2 linked regions of the Astyanax mexicanus genome follow. The protein of the gene in region 1 interacts with the protein of each later gene in a biochemical or structural test. Links are inferred from orthologs where the notes say so. Each region holds a gene or a part of one and is shown on either strand. Other genes may lie near its edges.

What was found.
Region 2: the proteins of abl1 (region 1) and crkl form a complex in vitro, tested with the Homo sapiens proteins (4 studies listed by BioGRID and IntAct, with this or other methods). The link is inferred for Astyanax mexicanus from reciprocal best matches to the Homo sapiens genes ABL1 and CRKL.

What each region holds. Positions count from the first base shown.
Region 1 is NC_064408.1:20,980,483-20,987,967, forward strand, and holds the start of abl1 (tyrosine-protein kinase ABL1), read right to left. Parts: upstream 3,041-7,485; 5' UTR 438-3,040; coding exon 302-437; intron 1-301. Other genes in the region: exosc2 (exosome complex component RRP4), read right to left, coding at 5,344-5,424, 5,860-5,988, 7,235-7,411. UniProt on the Homo sapiens protein: Non-receptor tyrosine-protein kinase that plays a role in many key processes linked to cell growth and survival such as cytoskeleton remodeling in response to extracellular stimuli, cell motility and adhesion, receptor endocytosis, autophagy, DNA damage response and apoptosis.
Region 2 is NC_064424.1:2,442,078-2,449,950, forward strand, and holds the start of crkl (crk-like protein), read left to right. Parts: upstream 1-4,802; 5' UTR 4,803-6,274; coding exon 6,275-6,585; intron 6,586-7,873. Other genes in the region: med15 (mediator of RNA polymerase II transcription subunit 15), read right to left, coding at 232-296. UniProt on the Homo sapiens protein: May mediate the transduction of intracellular signals.

The DNA.
Region 1 (7,485 bases):
GTGTTTTGCTTGGTAACAAATCTTATTTTAATTGTTTTTTTTTCTTATAAAATGTATTATTTTTGAATATTTCATTCCATTATTTCTCATAAAAAAAACAAGCTACACCAGGTGGTCATGCATTACAGAGATTTTTTTTAACAATGTTTGGCAAATATCTGCTTATGGCAGTGATCTAAAGTTGGAAAATATCAGTAATGCAGAGCCTCATAGCATTTTCCACTTTTCAAACACCTTCCAGCTACTGCAACATGCATTAAATGACAAGAAAAAGCACTGAACTGAACTGAGAAATCCTTACCATGCACTGTAAACACGTTGCAGTTGTGAGCGCCATGCCTTGATGAGTCCCGCTTCCCGCCACCCTTGATGAAGTTCAGAGCAGGCAGACTTGGTCTCCTTTGGTCCCCAACAGACTTCCCTGGCTGCTGCCCCATAAGGGCAGGTTGCCAGGCCGTAGCCGTGAAGCACAGCTGATGTTAGTCACTGCCTTGATGAGAGGTAAAATTGAATTTGATGGAAAGGAACAAGCGAGGTGCAGCGTTGGTGGGTGAGCGTCAGGACCTCCAGATCCCCAGTCCCTTTTCTGACACCAATGTAACGTTTTTCTGTGTCCACTATAGTGGTAAGGCAGACCCCACACCCAGATACTTGATATGTTTTTGTCCGTATCATGCATTGATTGCCCCAGTCTTACATTCCTCAAAGTCTAGCCTGGAGGTATGGATGTTCAGATGTTAAAACATACATATAAGCTACTGTCAAGAGTTCCACAACACTAAACATTCCAAAATAAAATAAAGGCATTAAAATGAAGAAACGATAACTAGGCCTACATTCTGGGCACAGTAGTGTTAATGAGTAGAATGGTGACTAGTTTCAGCATCATCAAGAAACGCTTACAGACGTAGAGCTAAAACAACCAAAATCTGCACTGTCACTGAGGTATTATTAGATCACACATTGATATTAAAAGGACCTTTACACTATGATTAAAACACCACGGTGCACAGTACCATTCAAGGCACATACATGAGACAAGGCACATGTAGGACTAAGTGGAGAAAACCAGTACTGTTTGAGAACGTATGAGACCTTGCAGTTATATTGCAGTAATAAAAAGATATGGTAGGTTCAAAGGTTTAAAATGATAGTTGCATATATTTAAGAGTTACTTTCATTTGTTTTCCATATAAAAGATATTTTTAAGGCATTAACAATATACAAGCAACCTGGAACTTTACTTTAACCCTGAATATCATTTCACAGACCAAATGAGGAAGAAAAAGTCAGTAGTAGTTGACTGTGAAGAATTAGGAGGAATTGACTAGCTAATTATGTCAATGGAAGAACTGGTTTTCTATTTCCAGTGAGGAACTGGATGTGTGTCTATAGGGAGGAACTGGAAGTATGCCTCAAGGGAAGAGCATGTTAGCTAGCTACCTCATTATAAAGAAGTCCTAATATTAGTGGACTTCATCAAACCTAATTAGCTAAAACCAAAATTAACTCAAGGGGTAGAACATAAAGGGTTAACTCATATTAAGTAATGATATTAGTGTGGTGGACTTCAACAGGCTTAGTTAGCTAGCCAAAAAACTAAAAGGATTGTTTTTTTTTTTATTGGCTAGATAGCCAAACCACAAATCATCTGGTCAAATTAAGTGATCTAGCTAGTATTACTGTGGTGGGCTTCAGCAGACTTTACTTTAACTAAAACTAAAGTTAAGTCAAGGGGAAGAAATTTTTAACTTACATCAAGGCCTAATATTGGTATTTTGCAATCTTAACAGACTTAGATAACTAGCTAAAATATAAAACGTCTTTGAATAGACTTAGAAAGATTAACTGATCAACTTAGGCTGGCTACAACAAGTCGGCTAGCTAATATTTCTATGGTGGACTTTAACAGACTTTAACTTAGCTAAAACTAAAATTAAATCAAGGGGAATAACTGTTAAACTTATATTAAGCCCTAATATTAATGTGGTGTACCGCACCAAAAAAAAAAATCCTAACAGACTTGACTAGATAGCCAAAATCACAAATGAGTTAACTGTGCAACTGTTTAACTTTAGCCTTAAAATACTTTAACTTAACTAAAACTAAAATTAAATTGAGAGGAAAAACTGTTGAACTTACATTAAGTGATAATATTACTGTGACACTTAGGAGACTTGGCTTGAGAGCCAAAATCACAGGAAAGTTAACTCTTTAATGGTTTAACTTTGCCTTTAACTTCACTAAAAATTAAATTGAGGGGACGAACTGGTTAACGTAGCTAGCCATCTAACCTATAAGACGTTCTTGCATTACTCTGACTTAAAACCCAATCTCACAGGACTTTTCCTACCAGCTTAACATTAAATTTGACATGTTTTCAGTACTTACCTACGACTGAACGTTAGAGTTTATGTATGTATGTGTATGTTAGATATCTAGCGTTAACTACGTGTTAAGAATATATGGTTAAGTATCCAGCAGCTCTAGGTCTGTCTCAGACAGAAAGCTAGCGTTAGTTAGCTTAGCTCCCCTAGCTTAGCTAACTTCACCCTGCTGCTGCTCCGCCTCAGCGAGCGTTAACTCTCAGCGCTGCTTAACAACAGGTTCCCTCAGCTGGAAACTTCACTAACAGCAGTGCCTGAACACACACACACCGAGCCCCTGCTCAGCTCAACACCGTCCCCAGCCGCTCTCTCACACCGACAGGCTTTTATTCACAGTCAGAAACTCCTTCCCGCAACTTCCGCATCCGAAGAGTTCAGCTCTCTTTCCCTCCGAGGCTCCAAACTCTCTATACTGCAGCCCGACTGCAGGCACTCCAGCTCGGGCACACAACCTGCCGTTCCCCCGCCTCCACCGACCGCCGCTCGCCCCGTTCCCGCCGCTAACCCGCCCGCCCGACTGAGGCAGGAGCTGTCGCTACAGGCGCGCGTAATGTCCTGCAGTATTTCTGAGTGTAGGAAGAGTTTTTACAGAAGTTTATGCTGAGCGAGCAGCCGTCGACGCAGGGGCCGCCATGTTTCCGTACGCAAGGTGGGCTGGTGTTTCGGTTTGCGTGCGTTTGACGTCACGTGGCGCCCTCTTCCGCCAACAGAGGGGCAGAGTTTCAGACCCAGTAGCATATAATACAGTCAACTATACTTTTGGATGGTTTAAGTATTTTTTATTTTAAAAAATGCAAAAAAAAAAAAAATGTTACATACCCAAAACAAATTCCTCCTAGAGAGAAATGTTACTAGATGTCTTTTATTGGAGATATTGAATAGAAAAAAAACTTGGCTTTTGCCACATAAATACTGCATGTCTAACAAGATCAGAGAAATACATTTCAAAATCTTACATAAGCAGGTCCATTGCAAAAGGAGCAAACCAAGCAATTGCCTGAGGCTCCGAACTTCTAAATTAAATGCAACAACAAACTGGGTGAGAGGCCGTTTAAATTCTGTATAATAACTAGAAAAAGTCAAAAACACATAACTATGTTACTAAGTATTTTCTTTAGAAAATTACAGATGAAGCTGTAAGTACTGTTTCCTACACCTTCAAACGACTTTTGGAAACTTTAGTTAAACTTATACAGAACCTTTCTAAAAAAAAAAAAAACCCAAGGACGCTTTACAATATATATATATATTTTTTTTACACACAATCATTAATTCTCAGCCCTCATCCACACTCCTTTGAGAAGTGGCAGCCAATAACGCACAGCGTACCCTCACCCGGAAACAACCATCCACCTGGAGGACTGCATCGAGCACTACAGCATTTTACTCAGGAAAGAGTGCCAATCCACATCTGGCCACATAGAAACTTACACACCAAATCAATTTAGAATAATACATATTTCTGGGTAATTTTACAGTATCCACTTTACCTGATCTCCATGTTTTTGGACTGTGGGAGGAAACCGAGGACCCCGGAGAAAACCCATGCAGAAGGGAGGGAGAACATGAAAACTCCACCCAGATAGGGACTTGAACCCAAAGACCCCAGTGCTGTTCCACACTGTTCCACATATGTATACAGTACCGCTCATAAGTTTGGAGACACATTTTAATTAATATTTGGTTTTCATTCTTCACAAACACTGGACATTTAAACCCCTTTTTCTCAGAATAAAGACATTCCATGAAAATATATGTGCCATTTGTTTAAATAAAATTCATAATGTTTAGAAAAGATAATGACATTTACTGTTTATTTTATAATGTTGATTTAGAAAAAGGGTATTTCATTAGTTTTTGGATTTCCATTTCATTTCTGCATTTAAAAAAATTCGTATTATTATTGCAAATTACACAGATTTTTATATTGTTGATAACTTTGCTTAAGTCTATAAATACCAGTAGTGATACAAAACTCAATGTTTACGAGTAACTCTGTTAATGTAGTAATTCTAGAAGACATGTTAATTGTAGATAACATATAGATCTACAGATCTATAATGACATTCTGACTACATTATAATGACTGAATCACACCTCCACCAAAACTACTATAGCTATTAAAAAGTAATTGCAAAATAAAAAGTCTATGACCTTTAAAAAGGTCATATTTTACTAGTAAAACCTGTAATTACAGACACTATATTTTTATAAGTAAAACATTTATGGTCTCACATCCAAAGATGTGAGTATAGATGTGAATATATAAAAAGATGTAGGCAGTATCACATCTCTTGAATATGTTTTTTACATTTTACATAAACTTCAATTAAACTGAATTTAAATTCTGACTGACCGACTCTCCTTTGCATTTTGTTGAAGAACATACCTTTAGTTGTAAACCCAAAGAATCAGTGTCATTTGACCTTGTACTTAACAGCCCACAACCCATGTGAATCTTTTTTCAGTACACTGAGAATATGCTGTGTTTATGTATTTAAAGTATTCAAAATTATTTAAAAGTTTTAAGTGCAATCCTGATTGTGGCCACAAGAGGGAAGCCATACAAAAACCCTGGTCTGACACCCCCTTGTGAAATCACACTGAATATTGTGGACAATTTTCTAATATGCTGTGCATATTCTTCCTTAAACCATAGCAGTTGCCAACACACTAAACCAAAAACTAAACCAAATACAGTGCTAAAACCACTGCACTTTTTATTAAACAAAGATCAAAGCTTTTCATACAAAATGTTTAAACAGTATCAAAACATTTTACACAAATTAACATATTAAATATTTCCTTAGTTTCTGGGCCTTTAACAGTCTGTAAAAAAAAAAAAAGTAATGTGTGAATGCTGCAGGACTGTGGATCTCCTGGAATTTGATGACCATTATCTGCCTCAAATCAGCTGCTCCCTGTGCTCGTGTTTATATAGCTTTCAACCAGCACTTTAACCCTCCTGATCAAGAAGTCGCTGTCGTGTCTCCATCACAATTTCATCCATAGTCTCTGGTTTCAAGATATCCTTGATCTGAAACAAATTCACAGAGAAACACTTTGTAAGACATATGCACATCTTTACACCTAGAGCACAGCTACATGTCATATCTGTGGCTAAACAACAGGTGAGTCTACTTAAAACCTGGTCAGATTAGCAGATCTGAGAGCTCAGTAGTTGACTTTTGATATAAATACTGAGTATTCTCAGGCAAATGCCAGTAAACAAACAAAAAATAGGCAATAAAGATCTAAAATTGGTAGGTAGAAAGGCAAATCAGATCAAGTCATCTGTACTACTCTATATATCTATGGCAGCAATTAAGACTGACTATTGACAGTGTAAGTTTTTAGTTAATCCTGTATCAAGAAGCTGGTAACGGCAAAACTATGGTATGGTTTGCAGTTCCAGTGAAGGTTTGATCACAGTTTTAGATTAAAAACTTGAACCCAGTCTATCCAGTCATACCTGATGGGAGAGGGAGGATTCATAGCAATAGAGAACGCTGGTATCATACAGAAGCACTTTGTGAGCTGCCAGGGCCAGCAAACAGTTCCTCAGTCTCGAAATGACCTCGCGATCTGATAGAGCAACAGGCTAAGCCACACAGAGAAAACAGTTTAGTATATTTAGTTTAGTATATTTAGTATACAGTATTATAACTGATCAAAAAAAAATCATATAGACATACACATTCCACATTACTATATGACAAAAAAGTGTTTTGTATGTTTAGTTCAGGGCTGCAACTAAATTATTTTGATTATCAATTAAGCTGTTGATTATAAAAAAAAAGGGAAAACACTTATTTAAAATATATGTAATATATTTGATAAGATATTGTTCAGATATGAAATATTTTACGGAATTAAAGTGGTACTTGTATTAGGAACATACATCCTACCAGTATTAAAAATATTTAAGCATTAACATAATGAATTAAGTCGAGAGTTAATTTTACTATTACTCATTTTACATTATCATTTAACAACATAACAACAGTGTATGGAATGGAAATATACACTCAGCTGTGATTCTCAAACACTTCCACACAATATCAGTCACAAAAAAAATTAAAAAAGGCTTAAAATTAATTATTTAAAAATTGATTATTTTTAAATCTTTCACTGATTATCTGTCACTGCCACTGCATTTAAGGTGGAACAGAAATCTGCCTGTGAGAAATAAATTTATATAAATGAGACACACCTTGGTTAACTACTCTAGCAGGCTCTAGGAACACTCAGTGACAAAAAAGAGAACTTGTCACTAATGTTATCCTAAATAAACTACGATTTGTTTTGGGACTGCTGGTGAAGCTGCCACATTTAAGGTGGAATTTAAGGTGGAAAAAAAACTCAGGGTTTTAGCAGGCTCCGCAAGCTCTAGAAAAACATTGAGTTAGAGAGTTAGAGGGGTGGGGGTCACTGTAGACCAACTATTTTCATAAGCGAGTAGTTGTTGCATATTAGCTTGTGGGAAGTGTAAGTTAGCTTGGACCATATTAGAAACTTAGCGATTGCTGCTATATGGCTAAGAACTCCCTCTGAACACCTCTTTAAAAGAACATATCTGTGCATATAAACTTTTCTGAAGTAAGAATATTGGAACTTCTCTATTAACCTACAGTTCTTATCTAAAAGTCTGGTGAGGCTTTCATTCTAGTTTGGATTTAATAACAGATGGAATCCAATATCAAACTTAAACAAATTACAACCTATCAAACAGAATTGTTTCAAAATCAACCAGAAAATCTGAACACAGATGGACTTCTAAACACAGTATAAAACATGCTGAAAAAAAATTATGTTTTCAACCATTAATAAAATCATGTTCTCCTGACCTCCAGGCTTGTGTAGTATCCTCCTGCCTCTTCATCTTGATGCCCTGGTGTAGGGTACAGCCAAAGGAAGCCATTGTTCCCCAGGATTATGGAAGCTCCACAGGGCAGATTGTGGAAATGGGTTTTCTGTCTCTTCACAAGAGATGGTGATACTTGCACCAGTACACCCTGTCCCAACTAAGAATGGAAAAACACAAATCAGGCCAAGTAAACTGAAATATCACTGTCGCAAATATTAAGATGCATTTTAA
Region 2 (7,873 bases), on another chromosome or scaffold:
CTAGTTAACTTAGCTAATATAACGTTAAGCTAAGCTAGGTAGCTAAAATGCGCCCAATTCGTCCCATAAATGTATTAGCTTAGCATTAGCTAGCGGCGGTATTTAGCTTAGCTACGCTAGGTTAGCTACCCAGTATAATCAGTGACTGAGCTAGCTCAGTTCAGCTAAGGCACTGACTCGGCTGGTAATGATAGTTAATTATTACTACTAATAAATAATAATATTACTCACATCTGCGCCACTACTTTCTGCCGGAATCCCGGACTCCTCCAGTCATTATCCGGGGGAAGATCCATAGCTTCCAGAAGCGTTAGCTAGCTGCTGTTACACCGAGCGGAGTGAATGAACTGCTGATCCAAATCCGCTTCTACACCGTTAGCACGCTAGCTAACCCGGCTAACTCACCCCCCTCCACCCCCGGTGTTGTGCCGAATTCTGGCTCCCCGCCAAAACCCGAGTCTTCCTGCTGCATTATTACCTCCACCTACTGAGCTGGAGTGTGAAGCAAGACTAAGGAATAGTGAACTGCAGGAAAAACACCAAAAAAGAAAATAAAGTAAACTAAAAAGAAAGATAATACAGATAATAAACTTTAAATTGGCTTGAAATAGCTAGCTAATAACGTTTAAAGAAAGTTAACTATAATGTAAGTCTAAAAAATAAAGGACTTTGAATAAGTGTTACCTTAAATTTGCACATTTTAATTAAAAATAGTATATATAGAGTTTAAAACACTCGCCTTAATAGTGGAAAGCAGATGCATAAACCTTTGCATAAAAGAGCAAAAAAAAAAGAAAAAGTGTACAAAAAAGAAAGAGAGAGAGAAAGGGAGAAAAAAAGATAGAGATTCTAGACACAAAGAATTAGAAAAAAGACACTTAAAACAAAATATGTATTTAAATGTATTACGTAGTAATATGAATATGAATGTGAATATTAATATTAATATAGTCGATATATGTCTGTTTTCAACAAAAGCATGTTCTGGCATTTGCCAGTGATTTCTGTAAATGAATTATAACTAATACTTCTGACCACACAGTGGCGCCTAATACCAACTCCTGCTGGAAGGCATAGCAAGGCAAATAATGAAAAAATAAATAATGTGGAGTTTAAGTTTATTCTCGAAATATTACAACTTTATTCTAAAAATATTACGACCTTATTCTTAAAATATTATGACTTTAAACTTGTATTATTACAACTTTGTTATCAAAATATTACGAGTTTATTCTCTAAAATATTGTATTTTACCTATGTGCAACCACTCGACAAACTGTAATAGTGTAAATTTAATAGCTTTGTTTCAGTATCTGTATTTCTTATTTTTAGAAGTGTTTGGGGTAAACGGGATTCTATAAATATTATGGCAATGTTCTTTAAATATCACATTTTTTCCCCCGAAATATAAAAAATATATTGTTATGATATAACATCTTATAATATTATGATACTACAACTTTATTCTCAAAATATTATGACTTTTATTTTATCATATTAAAATTTTTATATCATAACACTTCGATTTTATTTACAAAATATTCCAAGTTCATTCTTGTATTATTAGGACTTTATTTAGCTTATTTAGACTTTAATATTTAGATTTTAATTATGTAATATTACAACTTTATTCTCGAAATATTATGACTTTAGTTTCTAAATATTACAACTTTAAACTTGTAATATTGTGACTTTATGCTCTAAATATTGCCGGTTTTATCTCAAACAGATCTGTGTTTATTTTTTTAAAAGTGGCCCTAAAACACCTTTGTAGGCAGGTGAAGCAGGTGAAGAACCAAATACAATTCCTGCTGTACCGCTGTGTTCACCTGTCTGCAGCTCACAGCTGGAAGCAGCGCGAAAAAACGCGGGAAATTCGAATATTTTGTCAGTTGGTGGAAGTTTCTGACAGGATTTGAGGTAATGCTAAGCTAAGCTATCTTTAAACTAGAACCATAAAATCTATTTATTCAGGACATTTTACTATACATGTGTAAATAACATGTCAAAATTGCTTTTAGACATTATTCCAAACAACTAATTCAATGTTGTTACTCAGTTTATCAATTAACATTAACCTAGTTAAGTTAGCCAACATTTCTGTTAGCTTGTGGCTAACTGATACTGTGGTAACCAAGCTAGCTCTATTCCTAGTTAACCTACCTAGCCATCACAGTTGTTTTTTAAACACATTTCTCTGTAATATTTATGTGTATGCACCTGTAATGGAAATATTACGTTTATTTTTACTATTAAGATAATTGTGGCTGATATAACCTAGGTTTTTATTCACCAGTTTTCTGTTCAGATTTTCCATTCCACCTTAAATGGTGCATTTGAACACTGTAAAAGGTGCATGTAAGCAAAACCCTGTGCAGTATTATGTTTATTATTTTTAGCATTGTGTAAAAACAAAATAAGTAATAGTGATTGCATTGTCTGCTTAGTATGTAACATTGTTACATTTGGTCACAGGTTTACACCCTCATTTAAAATAAACTGTCTAAATAAAACAAAATATCTTTTGAAACTAGTAAAAATATAAAAAAAATAAAAATAAAAATGAACTTAAATAAAATAATTTTAAAGTAGTTTAGACATTTTGTCTCAGTCCAAAAAATGTAGACTTGTTTTAAAAAATAATGGCCGATACTGATATAACTTAATATTTTAGCTGTTATAATTTCAATGGCTCTGTTTGCTATGAAAAAGTCTTAAAAAATCTTAAAATTGTTTTCCCCATAACTGCAGATACAGGAAAAATCATGTAAGTTATAAACATAGGAAAAGAGAGGGTGCAAGTATTGTCATTCACATCACATGTGGTATATGAGGTAGAATTAAATTGTGTTCTCACTGTCCAGTTACACCCAAGTACAATTGTTGAAATAAGATAAAATAAAATAGAATGCAATAACATAATAATAAATCAGATATTATTAGATTGTAAGATTAATACACTTACAACAGTGTAAGGTATATGATTTTTACCCAAAATAATAACCAGAGCCTTCTTAAAAAATGATAAGTTTCTTTGATTTAACTTGTTAAAAACCTCTGGAATATACTCAAAACGGAAGATGGATGATCATCAAAAAAAATCAGAAGCCATCAAACCAAGCTAAAACCAGGGTTATTCCACCAAATATTGATTTATGAACTCTTAAAACTTCATGAATATTAACTTGTTAGGGCTGAAAGCTCTGCATCTTTTTGTTTTTTTCAGCCATTTCTCATTTTTTGCAAATAACTGCTCTAAATGACAATGTTTTTATTTGTAAAAAAAAAAAAAAACTGTTGTCCGTAGTAACTTATATTGAATGAAACAATTTTAATTTTACTCAAACATATAATTATAAATAGCAAAATCAGAGATCAGCACTGGCTTTGCTAATGTTCTCTCCATCATCGTCACCACAGCTCCTGAGTAAGTCGATTTGTTTCCATCTCTGAAAATTGCAGCTTCTGTAAAAACTGTAGTGAGACAATTGATCATTTATTTTTTTATTGTGTTTATACCTACTCTTTTTGGGTAGATATATTTTGGAATTTAGGGAAGAAAATTGGTAAAGACATTCCCCTTGAAAGTAACTATATTTTTTATATTTTTAATAACCCTCTATTTCATTGCAATGAATCATTTATTATCAACCTTATTATAATATTAGCAAAATATTACATACATAAAGCTAAAAACAAAAAAAAAACTGCCATCTTATATATCTTTTATAAACTCTGATTTTAAAATATATTTGCAAACAATTAAGTCAATGGGCCCCTCATTGAATAAAAAAATAGGTAGATCCTTAAATGTTTTAAAGCTTTACAATTTAATTTAAATAATAATAAATATTAAATAAATAATAAGAAAAGATACTTTGAGAAATTCTTGTGGCTGTTCATTATTTTTGCAGTCTTTTCAAAAGATGAGATGACTATGGAATGTCTTCTTTTTTAAGATTATTATTGCAATTCCTCTGTTTTTTTTCTTTTTCTTTTTTCTTTCTTCCTTTTGTTATATATAACAGTATTTTAGTCAGTCATGCTTCAATAACTTTGACTCTATAACATGAACACTGTGAGGACTAAAGTAGGTGAAGAAATAAGTATATAATTCCCAAACTAATTATAATAAATGATTAATTATTAAAATTTAGCTGTCTTTAAAAAAAAGTGTATAACTGCCTTTTTATGCTGTTCTGTTATCATTGTGTCAGTGGCATTTAATAGTCTTAAAATTACAAAAAAAATATTGTGTATCACAATAATTTCTGGGACGATATATCGTCCACAAACAAATCTTATCGTGACAGGCCTAGCTAATAGTTTGCCTCAGTAGCTAGCTAAATTTCCCGTTGCACCTTAAATGGTGCAACAGACAGCAGAGGCTGAATAATTTAAAATTTAAGGTGGAATAAAAAAAAATGGTAATGTCTGCACAATCCCCCCCATTTTCTTTTAGTATTGAGATTTAGATTTATTTACTACATTACATTCGTTTTTTCTTACGTTATTTTGTTGATTTTGTTAGCTTAATATTATGTTACACGAAACATTTAAAAAAATATATTATTATTTTTCTTTTTTCTTTCTTTCGTTATTTAACGTTACCTATCTTTGACATTGCTGATATGTTGCTGTTACTTCTTCTTGTTTCCTGTTTCAATATATCACTGTACCTATTTCTATAACTAATAAAAAAATATAAAAATTAAATAAATAAATAAAGGGAGGAGTGGGGGAGTGTCGTGCCTCACAGGCACATCATTTTCTCGGTTTGAAGCGGCGGCAGAGAGGCGAGAGCAGACCCGCCCTCCAGACGCCATTTCTCCATTTCTCCACCTCACACTATCTGAGCTGACGAGAGGGAGAGGGAGAGGGCTGAAGCTGCCTGATCCTCACAGGGGAACTGAATTTAACGGGACAGAGTGGGTTTTACACCGCTTTTTCGGGTGTCAGAGACGCGCCCGAGCGGCGAGGACTACTTTCACGCTTGAGAACTTTTGCTATTTTGCGGAATCTCTTTTTAAAGTGGAGGATTTGCTCACATTTGTGTGAGAGTTTTAGTGTGAAGAAGACGTGTTGCAGGCCGCCATCTTTGTTACTGCTAGCTAACCTAACGCTAGCGCTAGCGGCACTGTTACTCTGTTACTGAAGTCGGTTAGCTTGCGCTAGCTGCTGGAGTATAGGCGTGGACAAACGCTGTTTTGGGTGTTTTTAGCGTGTGAAATACTGCTGAGGACTCGTTAATGGACGCTTTAACGTATGTTCTGTGTTTTGAAGCAGCTATCGTGATGTAGAGAGCGGTGTTTTTAGCGAGATAATAAATCTTAAGTTTAACTATGGCGAGCTTTTCTCTATCGTGAGCTGACAGTGCTGAGACGGCTAGCTAATTAGCTGCTAGCTTGCTATTATTGTCTCATGAACTAAACTATAAGTTAGTTACGTGATTAGCTGGTTAATCATTGTTTAATTGACGTTTTAATAAACTAAAATAGCTTAGCTAGTTAATGCTGTTTCAGGAAATATAATAATCTAGCTGGCTTATATATTGTTTTATAACCAACTAAAAGAACTACAGTTAATTAGGTTAGCTTGCTAATATTCGTTTCATGAACCAAACTAGATGAGCTAAGTTAGTTTTAACTAGGGTTAAGTTAACTGTCGGTGGCTGGCCAGTATAGTTAAGTTATTTCTTAAACTAAACTAGCTAGATAATATTGTTTTAGAAATTAATCTGACTGAATAATATTGTTTATTATTTAAACTTGCTGGCTGTCTGCTAGCTGTGTAGCTAACTAGGTATTTGGCGGAAGAGGGAAGGGAAAAAGGGGAACTTTAATCTATATTCTCGGTATTCTCTTGATTTGGTGTCACTTAAACTGTCTTTTTTGACCGATCATTTTTTGTAATAATCTAAATGTAATATATATATATCTACCTATTTTAAAGCAGTGCTTATTCTTTGCAAAGCCAGAACACACAGCGCAATTCATGGTAAAGCAACTAATTAACTACTAAGTTGGGTTGTGTCGGTTGCTTGCACTCCTGTCTTGTGAAACGGCAGGTTGTAGTTCATTTTTGTTTTAGCTAAAGTTCAGCTCTTTATTTATAACTAAAGCACGTTTAAAAAGTGTCAAAGTGCTGTAACGTTACAATAAGTCAGAATTAAGGCTAACACTCGTCTTTCTAATTTATTCTATAGCTAACATTTATACATATTGTATTGTTAAGTCTAACCTAACTAACGTTTGCTATTTATTTAAGATCAGACATGTCGTCGGCACGGTTCGACTCCTCGGACCGAAACTGTTGGTATTTCGGCTCGCTTTCGAGGCAGGAGACGCAGAGTAGGTTACAGGGACAAAGACACGGTATGTTTTTAGTTCGAGACTCGTCCACCTGTCCAGGTGATTACGTGCTGTCGGTGTCCGAAAACTCCAAAGTCTCCCACTATATCATCAACTCTTTGCCAAGCAAGAGGTTCAAGATAGGCGACCAGGAATTTGAGCATCTGCCCGCGCTTTTGGAGTTCTACAAAATACATTACCTGGACACGACTACCTTGATAGAGCCTGCACCAAGGTAAGCACTCTACTTGAGGTTGTATTATTAATTATATAGAATTGACTGAAATAAAGAAATATTTTGAGATATCAATTTGGGTAAAGATGATTATCCAACGTAGCTAAGTATTCTTGGTTTCAGACTTCAGCTACAAGGGTGAACATTTCGACCTTCTTTTCCACCTTGTTGGAACACGTTTGCACTTGTCAGTAGGTTCTTCCATATGTAGGTTAGCTACCTCTGAATTAGTGCTGTGTTCATGTACGAACAAAACCTTTGCCATTTACAACCCTACCTCAACTCATTCATTGGAAGATGCAGCTCTGAGTGATGGTTGTGATGGTTTCCTGTGGTTTAAATGTAGAAATTGTACAATATGGAGATATTTTATCGTATTTGAATCAAGCCAAATATATTTAATAAGTATCCAGGAGTTCATCAGTGCTTAAAAAACAACCAAAATCTACATATCATTACAAATTCTTGTTAAATTAGATGATGTGCAACATAACTATATTGTGAGGGGATTTTTGTCCCTATACAGCCTTATATACATACAACTGAAACCAGTTAATTTTTTTCGATTTGTGTTTATCCATTAAAGCACACATAATGTTTACTAATATTGTAGTCACATATCATACACCAGGAACCTCAGGGATGTATGTATAAAATTTTGTAGAATTAAATTTGCTATATTAATGTTATAGTACGTTGTTAAAATATATATGTGTATTGTGTATAATATACAATCACATATATTGGCTAAGGTACCATATTTACACGTTCTGACAGTATAAAGTATTCCTGCCACAATAATAATTCTCAACATTATTGACTAATCATGCACAATGTATTGGCATAAGTTGACTAAGAGTAATTTTTACTCATTATTTTCACGATATTACCCATTGTGTTCAATTGAATGTTTGTGTGTATATATTTAAGAATGATGACATACATCAAAGTATTAATACTAAAAATATTGTTCTTTAAGAGAGTAATTGTGTTATTTTTTATGTTGCTGTATCATCTACTATATAAGTGGCACAAAGTTGTCTTAGAATGACTGATTTAAGTTATTGTGTATTCAGGGACAGTCTGTTGTCAGAAACATTTGTGAAATGCCTAGTATGGGATCTCATTTTGTTTTTGGTGTGTTTTCTGCCATTTCTTTTATTAAAGTTGTTGCATTTTAATACCTGCTATTCCTATGTGATTAGTTCATTTAGTATGTGTATAGACTAGTTGCAACTAGCTACAAGGGGTGGGAAGTAAATAGTATTAAAGTATTGTTTCACTACAT